Linked DNA regions of Cricetulus griseus. The protein of the gene in region 1 purifies or fractionates together with the protein of each later gene. This does not show direct contact. Links are inferred from orthologs where the notes say so. Each region holds a gene or a part of one and is shown in the gene's direction. Other genes may lie near its edges.

What was found.
Region 2: the proteins of Coprs (region 1) and Hnrnph1 purify together in Homo sapiens (co-immunoprecipitation; 3 studies listed by BioGRID and IntAct, with this or other methods). This does not show direct contact. The link is inferred for Cricetulus griseus from reciprocal best matches to the Homo sapiens genes COPRS and HNRNPH1.
Region 3: the proteins of Coprs (region 1) and Wdr77 purify together in Homo sapiens (affinity purification with mass spectrometry; 3 studies listed by BioGRID and IntAct, with this or other methods). This does not show direct contact. The link is inferred for Cricetulus griseus from reciprocal best matches to the Homo sapiens genes COPRS and WDR77.

What each region holds. Positions count from the first base shown.
Region 1 is NW_023276807.1:66,984,830-66,989,828, forward strand, and holds the start of Coprs (coordinator of PRMT5 and differentiation stimulator), read left to right. Parts: upstream 1-2,064; 5' UTR 2,065-2,147; coding exon 2,148-2,216; intron 2,217-4,999. UniProt on the Homo sapiens protein: Histone-binding protein required for histone H4 methyltransferase activity of PRMT5.
Region 2 is NC_048600.1:64,840,778-64,844,978, forward strand, and holds the end of Hnrnph1 (heterogeneous nuclear ribonucleoprotein H), read left to right. Parts: intron 1-11; coding exon 12-147; intron 148-448; coding exon 449-508; coding exon of another isoform or gene 509-538; intron 539-599; coding exon 600-689; intron 690-1,393; coding exon 1,394-1,486; intron 1,487-1,891; coding exon of another isoform or gene 1,892-1,941; intron 1,942-2,529; coding exon 2,530-2,648; 3' UTR 2,649-3,282; downstream 3,283-4,201. UniProt on the Homo sapiens protein: This protein is a component of the heterogeneous nuclear ribonucleoprotein (hnRNP) complexes which provide the substrate for the processing events that pre-mRNAs undergo before becoming functional, translatable mRNAs in the cytoplasm.
Region 3 is NW_023276806.1:51,041,924-51,045,918, reverse strand, and holds the end of Wdr77 (methylosome protein 50), read left to right. Parts: intron 1-209; coding exon 210-281; intron 282-915; coding exon 916-1,024; intron 1,025-1,546; coding exon 1,547-1,615; exon of another isoform or gene 1,616-1,675; intron 1,676-1,770; exon of another isoform or gene 1,771-1,907; intron 1,908-2,325; coding exon 2,326-2,485; 3' UTR 2,486-3,076; downstream 3,077-3,995. UniProt on the Homo sapiens protein: Non-catalytic component of the methylosome complex, composed of PRMT5, WDR77 and CLNS1A, which modifies specific arginines to dimethylarginines in several spliceosomal Sm proteins and histones.

The sequences.
Region 1 (4,999 bases):
TATGTTGTTTCTCTACATCACTGAAGAATCTTAGGGGCTAGGGAGCTAGGGAGATGGCTCAGTAAGTAAATGCTTAGCACAAAAGAATAAGGACCTAAGTTTGGATCACCGGCGAAAAGCCCTGTAACAGAGCGTTGGAGAAATGGAGACAGGAGGATCCCTAATTGCCTAATCAATGAACTCCAAGTTCAGTGAGAGATGTTGTCTCAACATTTAAGATGGAGAGCAATCAAGACCTGAGGTGATTTAAATAAGTTGTTCCCCTTAGGATCACATATTTGAATGCTTAGTCACTAAGAAGGGGAACTCTGATAGGATTAGAAAGGTTAGGAGGTGTGGCCTTGTTGATGGAGGTGTGTCACTAGGGGTGGGCTTTGAGGTTTCAAAAGCTGGTGCCAGGCCCAGTATACCTTTCTGCTTGCAGATCAGAAGGCCGCTCTCAACTGCTTCTCCAGCACCGTGCTTTTTATGCCTGTTGCCCTGCTTCCTGCCATGACGGTAAGGGACTGAACCTCTGAAACTGTAAGCAAATTAAATGCTTTCTTTTGTAAGAGTTGCCTTGGCCATGGTGTCTCTTCACAGCAATAGAATGGTGACTAAGAGAGACACCCTATTGTGACCTCTGGCCACCCTTGGGTTATTGTATTGCTATATACAGTTCTCCCCATTGCATATTATAAAATATGCATAATCAATTCATAGAGTTGTAGTTAGTTGTGATGGCCACATTTACCAATTTATATCTGAAATTAAATAATTGTGTTTCTTTTCATATTGACGATATTTTAAATGCTAGGTAAACACGTGGTTACCATAGTGACAGCACAGATCAAGAGCTTTTATTTCTGCCATTGAAGAAGAGTCCCTGGGCAGTGCTGACTTGGAGTCTGTTAGATTTGAAGAAATAACAACGGAACAGAACACACATGAACTGGTCATACTCCGTACTATGTAAAGACTATGTAAAGAAAAAAGAATAACATAATATGAATCAATTTTATCTGCATAAAAAAGATGTTTAGCCGGGCGTTGGTGGTGCACGCCTTTAATCCCAGCACTCGGGAGGCAGAGGCATGCGGATCTTTGTGAGTTCGAGGTCAGCCTGGTCTCCAGAGCGAGTGCCAGGATAGGCTACAAAGCTACAGAGAAACAAAACAAACAAAAAAAGATGTTTAATGCCTTATGGCAACATACTATTTAAGGGAGATGAAGATGCTGGTGTTCCAAACAATGTCATAAGGAATCCCAGCTTTCCTGATAACCATGCCTTCAAGTAGTTTGTTGCTAGAGTTTAAGTCATGCTGGGGAGGGTGGCAGTAAAAGCTGTCTGTACAGCTGGGTCATTCAAATCCATGCATCCATCCAAACATACATACACACATGTACACTCTACCTGCAGCTAGCTGCTGACTTTTGTCTCCGAGGCAACAGGGAAATAACCAGATTGGAGACATTGCCCATTGAAAGATGGAGATTTGGTCAATTTCTGCTGCCCAACTGTTACTGAACTCGGGGGTCACAATCTGAGCCCCAAGTCAGGTTCAGGTATCCATCCTCAATAAGCCATTAAAAACAGCCAAACTAATCGTGGGAAGAAGAAAATGGAGAGTTATCCAACGTAGTCACATTACTTACTTGGGGCACAGGTTGTGACTTCCAAGTTCAATAACACAAACCCAGAATGTTTCTGGGGAGCACGTTGACTTCAAAAGCGATCAGTATGCCAAGCTGACAAGTCTCCAGGCTGCTGAGTTATTTTACTCATTATTGGATGCTGTGGTCCTGGTGCAGCCTGAAATCTGGAACAGCCTGCGATGGGGTGGAGTGAAAAGTGATGGAGCAGCAGCGGCTCTGACCGTGTCGACGTCTGGGCTTTCTAAGCTTTCGGGTGGACTCTGGTCATTTAATAGTGCGATGGGGAAGGCACAGTGCCCAGTCCGCCGCCATAAGGCTCTAAACCAGAGATGTCAGAATGAGCTCGGGAGCCTGTGGTCCCGGCACGATGCAGGTGGGCGTGTCGTCCGGCACCGCTGCCCCTGCGCCGCCCCGCCCCCTCGGTGGCTGCTCCGCGCCGATTGGCCCCTCTGCAGCTTGTGGGCCGTCACGTGCCGGAGTGTCCCCGGTCGCCTAGCTGTGGGCGGCGGGGCATGGACCCTCAGGAGGCCACCGGTCAGGGGTCCGGCGAGCCAAGTGCGCGGCAGGTCCCCAACGCGGAGGTAAGCGCCACGGGGTGGGGAGCGCGGGCCCATGCGATCCCCCGGGCTGGAAGCCGCGGGGCTCGCGCGCTTCGGGAAGGCCGCTCACTCGGGAAACGCCGCCCCCCCCCGCGAGCACGCGCAGAGCCGGGCCGTAACGGCGGGAGCGCGCGGGGACCTGGGGTTGTAGCAGGCACTGGAAGGAGAAAGAGGGAAACTGGGGCTGCTCGGGAGCCTCTGTGGCAGGAATGGAGGGAAGGTGGAGCTGGGGGCCGGGTCAGATGGGAGCGACGAGGAAACGGACTTTTTTTTTTTTTTCCGAGACAGGGTTTCACTGTAGCTTTGGAGTCTATCCTGGCACTCGCTCTGGAGACCAGGCTGGCCTCGAACTCACAAAGATCCGCCTGCCTCTGCCTCCCGAGTGCAGGGATTAGAGGCGTGTGCCACCAACGCCCGGCTAGGACTTTTTTTTTTTTTTTTTTTAACCTTGAGGACCTCCGGCCGTTGGTGGGGATGTGCAGCTGACCTTGGACGTTAGATGTCACCGGTTCTTTTTCCCATTTGATGAAACGGAAAGGCCCCTGGTGACACGGGGTTTCCAGAAACTTCTTTTTCAAGTGGGTGCAATACAGCGGTTTCCTATGACCTGCCCTTAAGCAGCGACCATCTCCATCTACAACAAGCTTGACTGTAAATAGGCGTCCTGTTTACCAGAAGACACACCATGTGCCTGACACAATGTGTATGCTAATTGGGTGCATGAATGGAATGCTTGCTTGAGCATCCAAGATGGTACTTGCAGCAACGGTAGCAATAGATTCGCAAAGAATATTAGTTTTACAGAAGAGGAGGGCACTAATTTTGTTAGAGAAGGCAGAGCCCCACCAAAGGCCTGGAGGTCAGAAATAGAGTAATGTTGCCTCTCACGTTCACCGACTTGCTTGAACATAGACCTCTTCCGGTAAAAGGCCTGCTCTAGGGCCCAAGCTCTGGGGTCATAGGAAAAGGCTGTATTGCACCCATTTGCTCCAACACCTTGGGGGACAGCAGTGAGTTGTGGCTACGGGTTATCACTGACCACAGGAGGTGGAATTGAATCATTAAAAATCCAGTCATGACTGGATAATGAATGTTAACTAAGGTGTGTGCTAAGTACAGGTATATGATGAAAAGTTTGTGTAAGATTGGAGAGCTAGTATGGTGATGGTGTCACAGAGTTTGGTTTGGTTCCCAGCAACCACCATAGGTGGCTCAGAGCCACCTGCAATTCCCTCTCCAAGGGATCCAACACCTCCTCCTCTTCGTACATTCACACACAAGCAAATAGATGTAAATATATAAATACATAAAAACTTTAAAAAATAAAATGAATTTAAGTCAGAGAAACATTACTTCTGCAGTCTAACAGGTGGTTTTGTTATTGTTTTTAATCATTTTTTGTTTGAATTAGAAACAAGATTGATTTACATGACAATCCCAGTTCCCTTCTCCCTCCCTCCCTTCCCTACCACCGCCCCCAACTAAAACCCTACCTATCACATACCCTTTCTTCTTGACCTGATTCAACCTTTCTGCTCCCTCATGACCTCTGCATCCTTCCTCTTCTTCCCTTCTCATTCTCATAGCCCCCTCCCCGTTTTTTTTTTTTTTTAATTTTTTTGGTTTTTCAAGACAGGATTTCTCTGTGTAGCTTTGGAACCCATCCTGGCACTCGCTTTGGAGACCAGGCTGGCCTTGAACTCACAGAGATCCGCCTGTCTCTGCCTCTTGAGTGCTGGGATTAAAAGGCGTGCGCCACCAGCGCCCAGCGGTTTTGTTATTGTTGTTGCCTTTAATTGTAGTTTTGGAGACAGGGTCTCTTGTAGCCCAGGAGCTCACTCTGTGACCAAGGACCTTGAACTTCTGATCCTCCTGCCCCCACTTCCCAAATGCAGAGATTACGAGTATGTGACATCATGCTTGCTCTTATGTAGTGCTGGAAAATCAGCCTGGGACACTGAGCATACTAAGCAAACACTACCAACTGAGCTACATCTCCAGCCTGTATTAGGTGTTTTCATAATTGTTCTGTCAACATAGGACCTCTGCAAGGTCAGAACAACCACCTCCAGTTTCCAGGGGTCACACCCTGAGCGCATGACAGGGCTCGTTGAAATCTGGCCTAATGACTCAAGCTGTAGACATTAACTGGTTCCATTGGAGAGAGATATTGAGGACAATAAAGTCTGGGGGACTTTTGAAGTAATGGGGCATAAAATTACTTGGTTGGCAGTGGGGATATAAGTGTTCCTTTCACTGTTTAGGAACTAAAACTCTGGTTCCCCACGTACCACTTGGGAGACACTGTTAAAAAGGAATTGTTAGGGGCTGGAGAGATGGATCAGTGGTTGGGAGTGCTGGCTGCTCTTCCCAGCACCCACCTGGTAGCTCACAGCTGTCTTTTTGACTCCAGTTCCAGAGGATCCAGCATCCTCACACAGACATACATGCAGGCAAACACCAGTGAACATAAAATGTAAAAAAGGAGCTGTTAGATATGAGGCCAAGTAACTGAAAAGGGGAAGGTGTGCAGAGAAGTGGCAGGTGCAGGAAACAGCTACCAATCCTGGCCAAGAAAAAGGAATGGTTAGAGCTGTTAAAATGATAGAGGAAAGGGTTTATAGACAGACCTGGAATTACAAACCCTGAGACCCAGGAGCTGTCCAGATTGGCTCTAGGGTCTCTGATCATGGAGAGGCCCTGGTACCCAGACTTCTGAAGAGGGCCCTAGATGAGATCAAAACCTGCAGCTGTCAGTTGGCCAC
Region 2 (4,201 bases), on another chromosome or scaffold:
TTGTATTTTAGTTTTTTTCACCACTCAACCCTGTGAGAGTACATATTGAGATTGGACCCGATGGCAGAGTAACTGGTGAAGCAGATGTCGAGTTTGCAACCCATGAAGATGCTGTTGCAGCTATGTCAAAAGACAAAGCAAATATGCGTAAGTGTAATTAAAGTGCTTGTAACCTCAGGTAGTTAATTGACAAGCATTTAGAGTAGAGGAATAGAATAGTAAGGATATATAGGAGAGATTTCATTAGTTGGGTAGCTTGGATGTATTGACATTTTGGGATTTGTAAATTTTTCCTTAATTGATAGTGTTTTAAAAGCTAGTTCTTAAGTTCTAACATGGGAGTTTTCTTTTTCTTTTCACCAAAACATTTGTGATTCACAAGTTACTTTTAAATTGCTTGTTTTCTTTTACCAACAAACATTTTCAAACTTTTTTTTTCTCATTTCAGAACACAGATATGTAGAACTCTTCTTGAATTCTACAGCAGGAGCAAGCGGTGGTGCTTACGGTAGCCAAATGCTAGGAGGCATGGGTTTGTGTAAATATCACTTTAGTGTCTTTTTTTAAGCTAACCTTGTATGCCTTTTCTCTCATTTCAGAACACAGATATGTAGAACTCTTCTTGAATTCTACAGCAGGAGCAAGCGGTGGTGCTTATGGTAGCCAAATGATGGGAGGCATGGGCTTGTGTAAATATCGTTAGTTTTTTTAAAAACCAAAACATTTATATCTGTATAAGTAGTTAATAAGCTAAGTTAATATTATAATTAGCATAAGAGTTTGTTACCATAATAATTTTAAGCTACAATAAAAATATTAAGTTAGCAAACAAATTCAGGCAAAGTAAATTTTGTAATTACTATATTAAATTACTAAAATCTTGTAAATAACATAAACCTGCTTAGGATAGCTTACTTAAAGTAGATACAAGTACTTTTGTTTGGGGGAGGGGACTATTGATTGTGTTATAGTATCTGTCTATAAAGTGTAAGTTTAAAATACTTAACAAACATAAGGTTTAAAATTTTTATTTGGTAACATAATTACTTGGGCATAATTAACTAGGTGTTCATTGATACCTGTATAATATCTAAATATATATCAAGCTAAGGGGGAAACCCCACTAAAGTTTCATAAGATGATCAAAAAATGCCTCTACTTAGTGAATCATGTGTACTTAGTCCTCAACCCTTTGGTTTATAAACACTGAGCTAGCTAAAATGATGAATATAAAGGTTAATATGGTCATAGACAGTCTTGTCATAGACAGTAGGCAGGAGACAGTAATTTAAGATCAAGACTGGAAAATCGTAGACATAGAATTACAAGCCCGGTACCACCAGGTACCACATTGGATAAGGAGCAAAGCTCTAATGTTCTCTTAACTTAACAGCAAACCAGTCCAGTTACGGTGGCCCAGCCAGCCAGCAACTGAGTGGTGGTTATGGAGGTGGCTACGGTGGCCAGAGCAGCATGAGTGGATATGGTAAGTTTTTTTTTATATACCTAGAGTAAGTTTTAGGTTGGTTTGTCTAGTTGGGCTCCTTTTGAAAAGAGGAGGGGTATTAATATGGTTTTTATTACAATTCTTATTAGTATAATTTACAGAAAGTCATTGGGAGGAGGGGGATGTATCCTAGTAATTGCAATTTTGGAATATTGTCAAGGCAGAAAACATCTCTGTTCGTTTATTAAAATAATTAGCTTGCTTTTCTGTTGTAGCATTAAATTTTTTGGAGGGTAATTTTTAAATATTAGGCTGGTGGTTGGGTTCAGGACAGTATTTTACTAGTCGGTTAACCTAGGGATGGTTTTATTTATTTTTTTTTCAATTGGTCTAAAGAATGGTGATTTTGGTATTATAGTCTTACCCTACAAAATCCTTTTGCAGACCAAGTTTTACAGGAAAACTCCAGTGATTTTCAATCAAACATTGCATAGGTAAATATTTTCTCAAAAAATAATTTAAATTCCCAATAGCAAAGACTGATAATGTTGTGATAACACTTTTCTATAGCAGTCAGTGACTCTGACTTAACTCCCTGGAGGCTGCCATTTTGGGCACAGTGAGTTGCCTTTAGTCCAACTTTTGTCCTCTCACTTCTTGCCCACCATGAATAGGCAAAGCAAAAGACTTCCCCTGTGTTCCCTATTCATACACATCATTCGATGAACACATAGTACATGTTTATGGTAAATTTTTAAATGCTTTGTTTAGCTTTAAAAACTTGGAAGTAATTTTGCAATTTTTGAAAAACACTAGTTTTCCTTTAAACTTAAAATTTCCACGTTGATCCTGAAGAATCCACTTAAAATGGTAGCACAAGAGTCTGGCAAGTTGGTACTGCAGAGAAAAGGGTTTAATTGAAATTTGTTTGGAGTCGGGATTCCCTTTTCCCAACATGCTTCTCGCCAATTGGACAGCAGCCATTTGCACTCGTATACCTTTTAAACTTTTTCTTGGAATGTTATTTTATTTGATTGGTTATTTGACACTATTCCTAACTTGTCAAACTGATCTCTTTGCAGGTAGCCAAGGAGCAGTGAACAGCAGCTACTACAATAGCGGAAGCCGTGCATCTATGGGCGTGAATGGAATGGGAGGGATGTCTAGCATGTCCAGTATGAGTGGTGGATGGGGAATGTAATTGATTTTGATTGATCACTGACTCTTGGTCATTTTTTTTTTTAATGGAAAAAAAAAAACCTTCAGTTTAACAGTTTTGCAATCCAGCCTTGTGATTTATGTCTACTCTCTTAAGTGAACATTGGCATCACTCAAAGGACTAAGGTTCAATGTTGAATATAGTCACCTAGGATGATGATACAGTGAACTATAACTGTTAAACAATTCCCAGCTTTTCTCTAGTTACTGTAGGATGTGTGTAAGCAGTAAGCGTATTTAGGTTAAAGCAGTTGAATTATGTTAAATGTTGCTCTTATACATACATTACATTGAACACTGTTGATGCATGTTGAAAAGACATGCTTTTTTGTAAAACTCTATAGGAGCTGCGTCTACAATTAAAAGTGAAACATTTGGCATGTTTGTTCTAATTTCATTTGATAAACCTGTAAGGCACGTGAGTTTAAAGCTTTTCTCTTTTTTTTTAAGTTGATGGAGAAATTTTGAGACGCAATACCATTACTTTAGGATTTTTGGTCTTGGTGTTTGTATGAAATTCTGAGGCCTTGATTTAAGTCTTTCATTGTATTGTGATTTCCTTTTAGGTGTATTGCGCTAAGTGAACCTTGTCAAATAAATCTTCCTTTTAAAAGCTACACCTTGTCGTATCTGTGCTTCAGTGTCATGTGATCTTTCTTTGGTGCTTTATTCCTACCTGGGGTCATATTCCATGTCTCTGACTATGATAGAAAGGCTGGGCTACATAGAGAAACTGTGTGTGTTTTGAGACAGGGTCTCTAACTGCCCTGGTTGTCCTGGAACTCCATAGACCAGGCTGGCCTCAACTCAGATCCTCCTGCTCTGCCTCCCTGGTGCTGGGATTAAAGGTGTATATCAACACCACCCTGGGAGAAAAACCTCGAAAAATAAAAACAGAACCAAACAGAAAACCCAATAACTTGGAGACAAGGTCTTACTGTGTAGCCTTGGCTGGTAGAAGTAAAAATTCCTACAAGTAGCCTCTGAACTTCATTTGTAAGATGGTATATCCATATAGACAACAAAAATGAACCTTAAAAAAGTTTAATGCTGGACATGGTGGCACATGCCTTTAATCCAAGCACTAGGAAGGCAGAGCACTAGGTAGGAAAGAGATCCTCTGACCTCCAAAGTAATGCTGTGGCTTTACTGACTAGTCTGCCACGCTCTGGCTCTGCACATTATATGCTTAAATGTTCCTCTGTTCAGGCTGGAATTTGGTGTCAAAACTTGATGATAGCAGCTAAGTATTGGAGGTTTAGGACCTGAATCCATGAATAGTCCAAGTATTATGTTGCTTGGTGGGTAGAGTTGAAGTTGGGAGAACAAAGGAGAAAACCCTGAATACTTGTGTAGGCCAGATGGTGGGTCTTGATGTGTGCTTTTTATTGAGCAGCAGCATGAAAATGGAGGTGTTACCCTGCTTCCTCTTGTGTGCAAGTGAAAGGTGTGACACTCGGAAGTTAAGTGACTTGACTAATGGGCTCGGAGCCCAAGTTGGGTACACTGAAAAAGGGACAGAGTTAACTAGAACAG
Region 3 (3,995 bases), on another chromosome or scaffold:
TGAATAGATGTAGGTCATGAGGCTCAGGGATGACGACATGCTTGATTGCCCAGGTCATGAGGCTCAGGGATGACGACATGCTTGATTGCCATAGCAGCATTTAAGAAACCCAGTCAAAGTGTTCCCAGGACTTTGTGACTTCTCTTGAAGAACTGCTTCTTGTAGGTTGTGGCTGCTTTTGTTCCAAACCTCCCTTTTGTCCTTTCCAGGCTGCAATGCTTCTGGCTACCTTCCTACCTCCCTGGCTTGGCATCCTCAGCAGAGTGATGTCTTTGTCTTTGGTAAGGCAGCATGACATATGGACTCTGAGAACGGGAGGATGGGAAAGCGCTACCTTCGAGGTGTACACACTCTTGTCAACACACTTCAGCACTACATGAATTAGAGCAGTTTTGTTTAGCTTTGGGGGACATAATTTTTTCCTAGTAGATTGGATTCCTCATGGATCCAGCTCCCTTATTCTCGGCATGATTAGAAATCATTGGGCCACTTAGCAAGCAGCTTTGCTGTTTAGGGAATTATGTGGGTATGACTGCATATGGTAACAGCTTGTAGTTAAAGTAATAAGTATCCAGTAATTGTCACAGCACACAGTAACTTGCTTATCCTACCTTACAAAAGGAAACTGGTGCTCTGGGTGGTGAACTTGTCCATATCTCGAGGAACTAAGATTCATGCAAATCCAGGACTGGCATATCAAAGCCTAAGGTTTTTGTTGTTCTTTTCTCTCCTAAGACAGGGTCTTTCTATGTAGCTCTGGCTGTTCTAGAGCTTATTATTTAAATCAGGCTGGCCTTGAACTCAGATAGATCCTCCTGCCTCTGCCTCCTGCATGCTAGTATTAAAGGCGTGCTTGACTGTGGACAGCCTGAAGTGTATGTTCTTAACCATGGTAACATGCTGTTTCTTCAACAGGTGATGAGAATGGATCTGTCTCTCTTGTGGACACCAAGAATGCAAGCAGTACCCTCAGCTCAGCTGTGCACTCCCAGTGTGTCACTAGGCTGGTATTCTCTCCACACAGGTACTGTTTGTCATCAGGGGTTTGGAAGGGATGGGTTGGGCCAGTGGTGAGGGGTAGGAATGGAGTGATAAGGAATGTATCTATTGGCACAGCATTAGCTGGTTACATTGTTCCTTAGATGGAACAATGTAAGTACTCGAGCTTGGTCTTCCTAAGCTAGTCAGTACAGTTCTTATTAGGGTTGCATAGTCTAAAAACAGCTGAAATGTGATCTCATACCTGTTCAACACAGCTTGATTGATGTTAGGCTTCTGGCACCATGTGCTTAAGGAGCCTGATTCTGGGTAATTGCTAATGTAGAGAGGGACCCATTGGGTAGTTGGTTACCAGGGTGGTTTCTATGAGTACTGTCTCTGTTCCATTTTTATTGGAATTATAATGGCAGGAAGACCTTAACCCAAAGGTGGGTATCAGGCTGCCTTTTCCCCTGGCTCAGTTTATGGTGAGTTTGGGGCTGGTGCAGTCAGATTTTGGTTATGGAATCTAGGCTTTATCTTCTCTCCCCTTTGTTCCCTCTCCTAGTGCTCCCTTTCTGGCCTCTCTCAGTGAAGACTGCTCAATTGCTGTGCTGGATTCAAGCCTTTCTGAGGTGTAAGTTTGAAGTAGAACCCTGTGGTTAGGAATCAGGCATCAAGACCAATGGGCAAGCAGGTCTGTTTTGTCTTCAGGAACTTGCATGTAGAATTCTTCCTTTGTTGGGACTGGAGAAAAGCTCAGTAGTTAAGAATACTTCCTTTTGTTCCCAGCTTCCACATCCGTCTGCTCCCAGCTGTCTGTCACTCCAGATCGAAGGCATGTGATGCCTCTGCTTCTGTGGGCCTCTGCACTTGGGTGCACATACCCACTTACACATTATTAGAAATAAATAGAAGAAAATTCTCCATCTTTGTCTGTAGAGGTTCTCTCCATTTGTGTCTGTGTGTCTGCAGAGACTGAACACTGGAAGCAGTCTGATTGTAGGCTAAGTCTAGCTAGCATCCCAGCTTCACGGAGGGAACCCCTGCTGTGAAGTGAAACCTGCTATAGAGAGAAAGGCATGGGAAGGAAGACCCCGGTGTACATCTCTCTCTGCTATGACTTCCTGCTTGGTTGTAGATATACTACTTCTTTGCTCTGCATACTATTTCTTCCCCTAGGAAAGTAGACTGGATTGGATTGAACATCCACTGTCCTGGTGATAAGCTGTACAAATGGTGAAATGTTTAAAAACAATGTGTCCTGATTATGTTAGGTTTTCTTTCTGTCTTCTTCCCACCTCGGTTTTTGTGTTATCTCTTACCACACACCCACTTTTGTTCCAGGTTTAGAAGTCGAGCCCACAGAGACTTCGTGAGAGATGCTACGTGGTCTCCACTTAACCACTCCCTCCTTACCACAGTTGGCTGGGACCATCAAGTCATCCACCATGTTGTGCCCATTGAGCCTCTCCCAGCCCCTGGACCTGAGAATGCCTCAGAGTAGAATGGATTTCAGAAAAAAAAAAAAAAAATAGCCCTCCACCTGCAAGAATCTGCTTGCCTCTGCCTCCGTATTGTGAGAGCACAGGAAGGAGCCTTGTAGAGCATGTTACTCCCTAGTCCCGTGCAATAAACAGGCAGACTCTCAGCCTGAGGGAGGCTGCAGCCCATAGTGTCTAGGAGGGAAAACTTCCTTTATATAAATGGGTATATGTGTTCGAGAGAGCACATGTGTGTGAGTGTATTAAGTAGTTTGGGGTGGGGAAAATTATTCTTCAGCTTTCCCAAAGCACTGCTCTTTATTTCCCACAAAGTGAGAACAGTTTTATGCTTCCCAAGTCCAAGAATTGGATATGTTGTCTGGGATATGGAATGTGAGTATCCCTAGATTTGTGGGAGTGGTTCCACCACTCAGAGATGGGGTAACTTATTTTTATATAGAGTTTAATTCATTATGGGGAATACTTCAGTCCATAAAAGTCCAGCACAGTATACCTTGAGAAGACACAGAAATACCACAGTTTTGTACAAATCCATGTTAAACTGAATTTTCAGATCCATTTTCTTGGTGAATAAATTTGGCTGTTGCAATGTAGTTCTTGCTCACCCTTTGCCCTCCTCTGTGTTGTATGAGAGAGATGAGTGTTTTCCTGTCCTAGATTTCATAGAAAGTTTTAGGGATGATTGAACATTTAAAGGGGTTTCAGTGAAGTCAGAAAACTGACAGGGTTTCTTACAGAGAAATCTTTGTCATTTTTCCCACCTAAAGATACCCTGAGACCTGATTGCCTCTGGGCACCTTCCTCTGGAGATATGAAGTCTGAGTGCTGTATTTGTGAACTATTAAGATTTAAGATCCATCATTAGGGAAATTCTGAAATACTGAAATGTGAATTAAAGACTTGGGTCATGGCCTTTTCCCCCACCAAAGCTGTTGTTACTTTTTGTCTGCTTTACTTAGGTGAGTCACCAGGATGTTGTCAATTTTACTGCCGCTGTCTGTATTTTACCATTCCTGAAGTAGTTAGTTAAGGGAGAACTTAAACATTTATTTATACTTGGTGTTGGTGGTCTAGCCACTCCATTTAGAGTTCATGATAAATAACTGATTATATTGGAGCTGAGAGTGACTGGTGATAGATATACTTTGGAGTGTTTCAACTTTAGTTTAGGAGAAAGTAGGTAAGTGGGCCTCCTGAATTCTATATTTGCTAGTCATGAGGCTCTTGTTATTACCTGTGAGTAAAACATTTGAATTTGCATGCATGGTCAGCCAGGGCTTGAAAGAATAAGCGTTGGTGGAATCACTCTGCTGCTCAGAGATAAAGCTTGTGTTTTGTGGTCACTTAGGCACGAAGGGCAGATAGTGCATTTGCATGGCCTGTTTCTTAGGCTTAAGGCTGATAGAGGGGGGGAAAAAAACTTAAAGAAAAAAGGCTTAAAAAAACTATGTTAGAAGGTCTAAAATGAGACCAAAGAAGAGAAACAAGTTTTTGAAGAATTGTTACTACTTT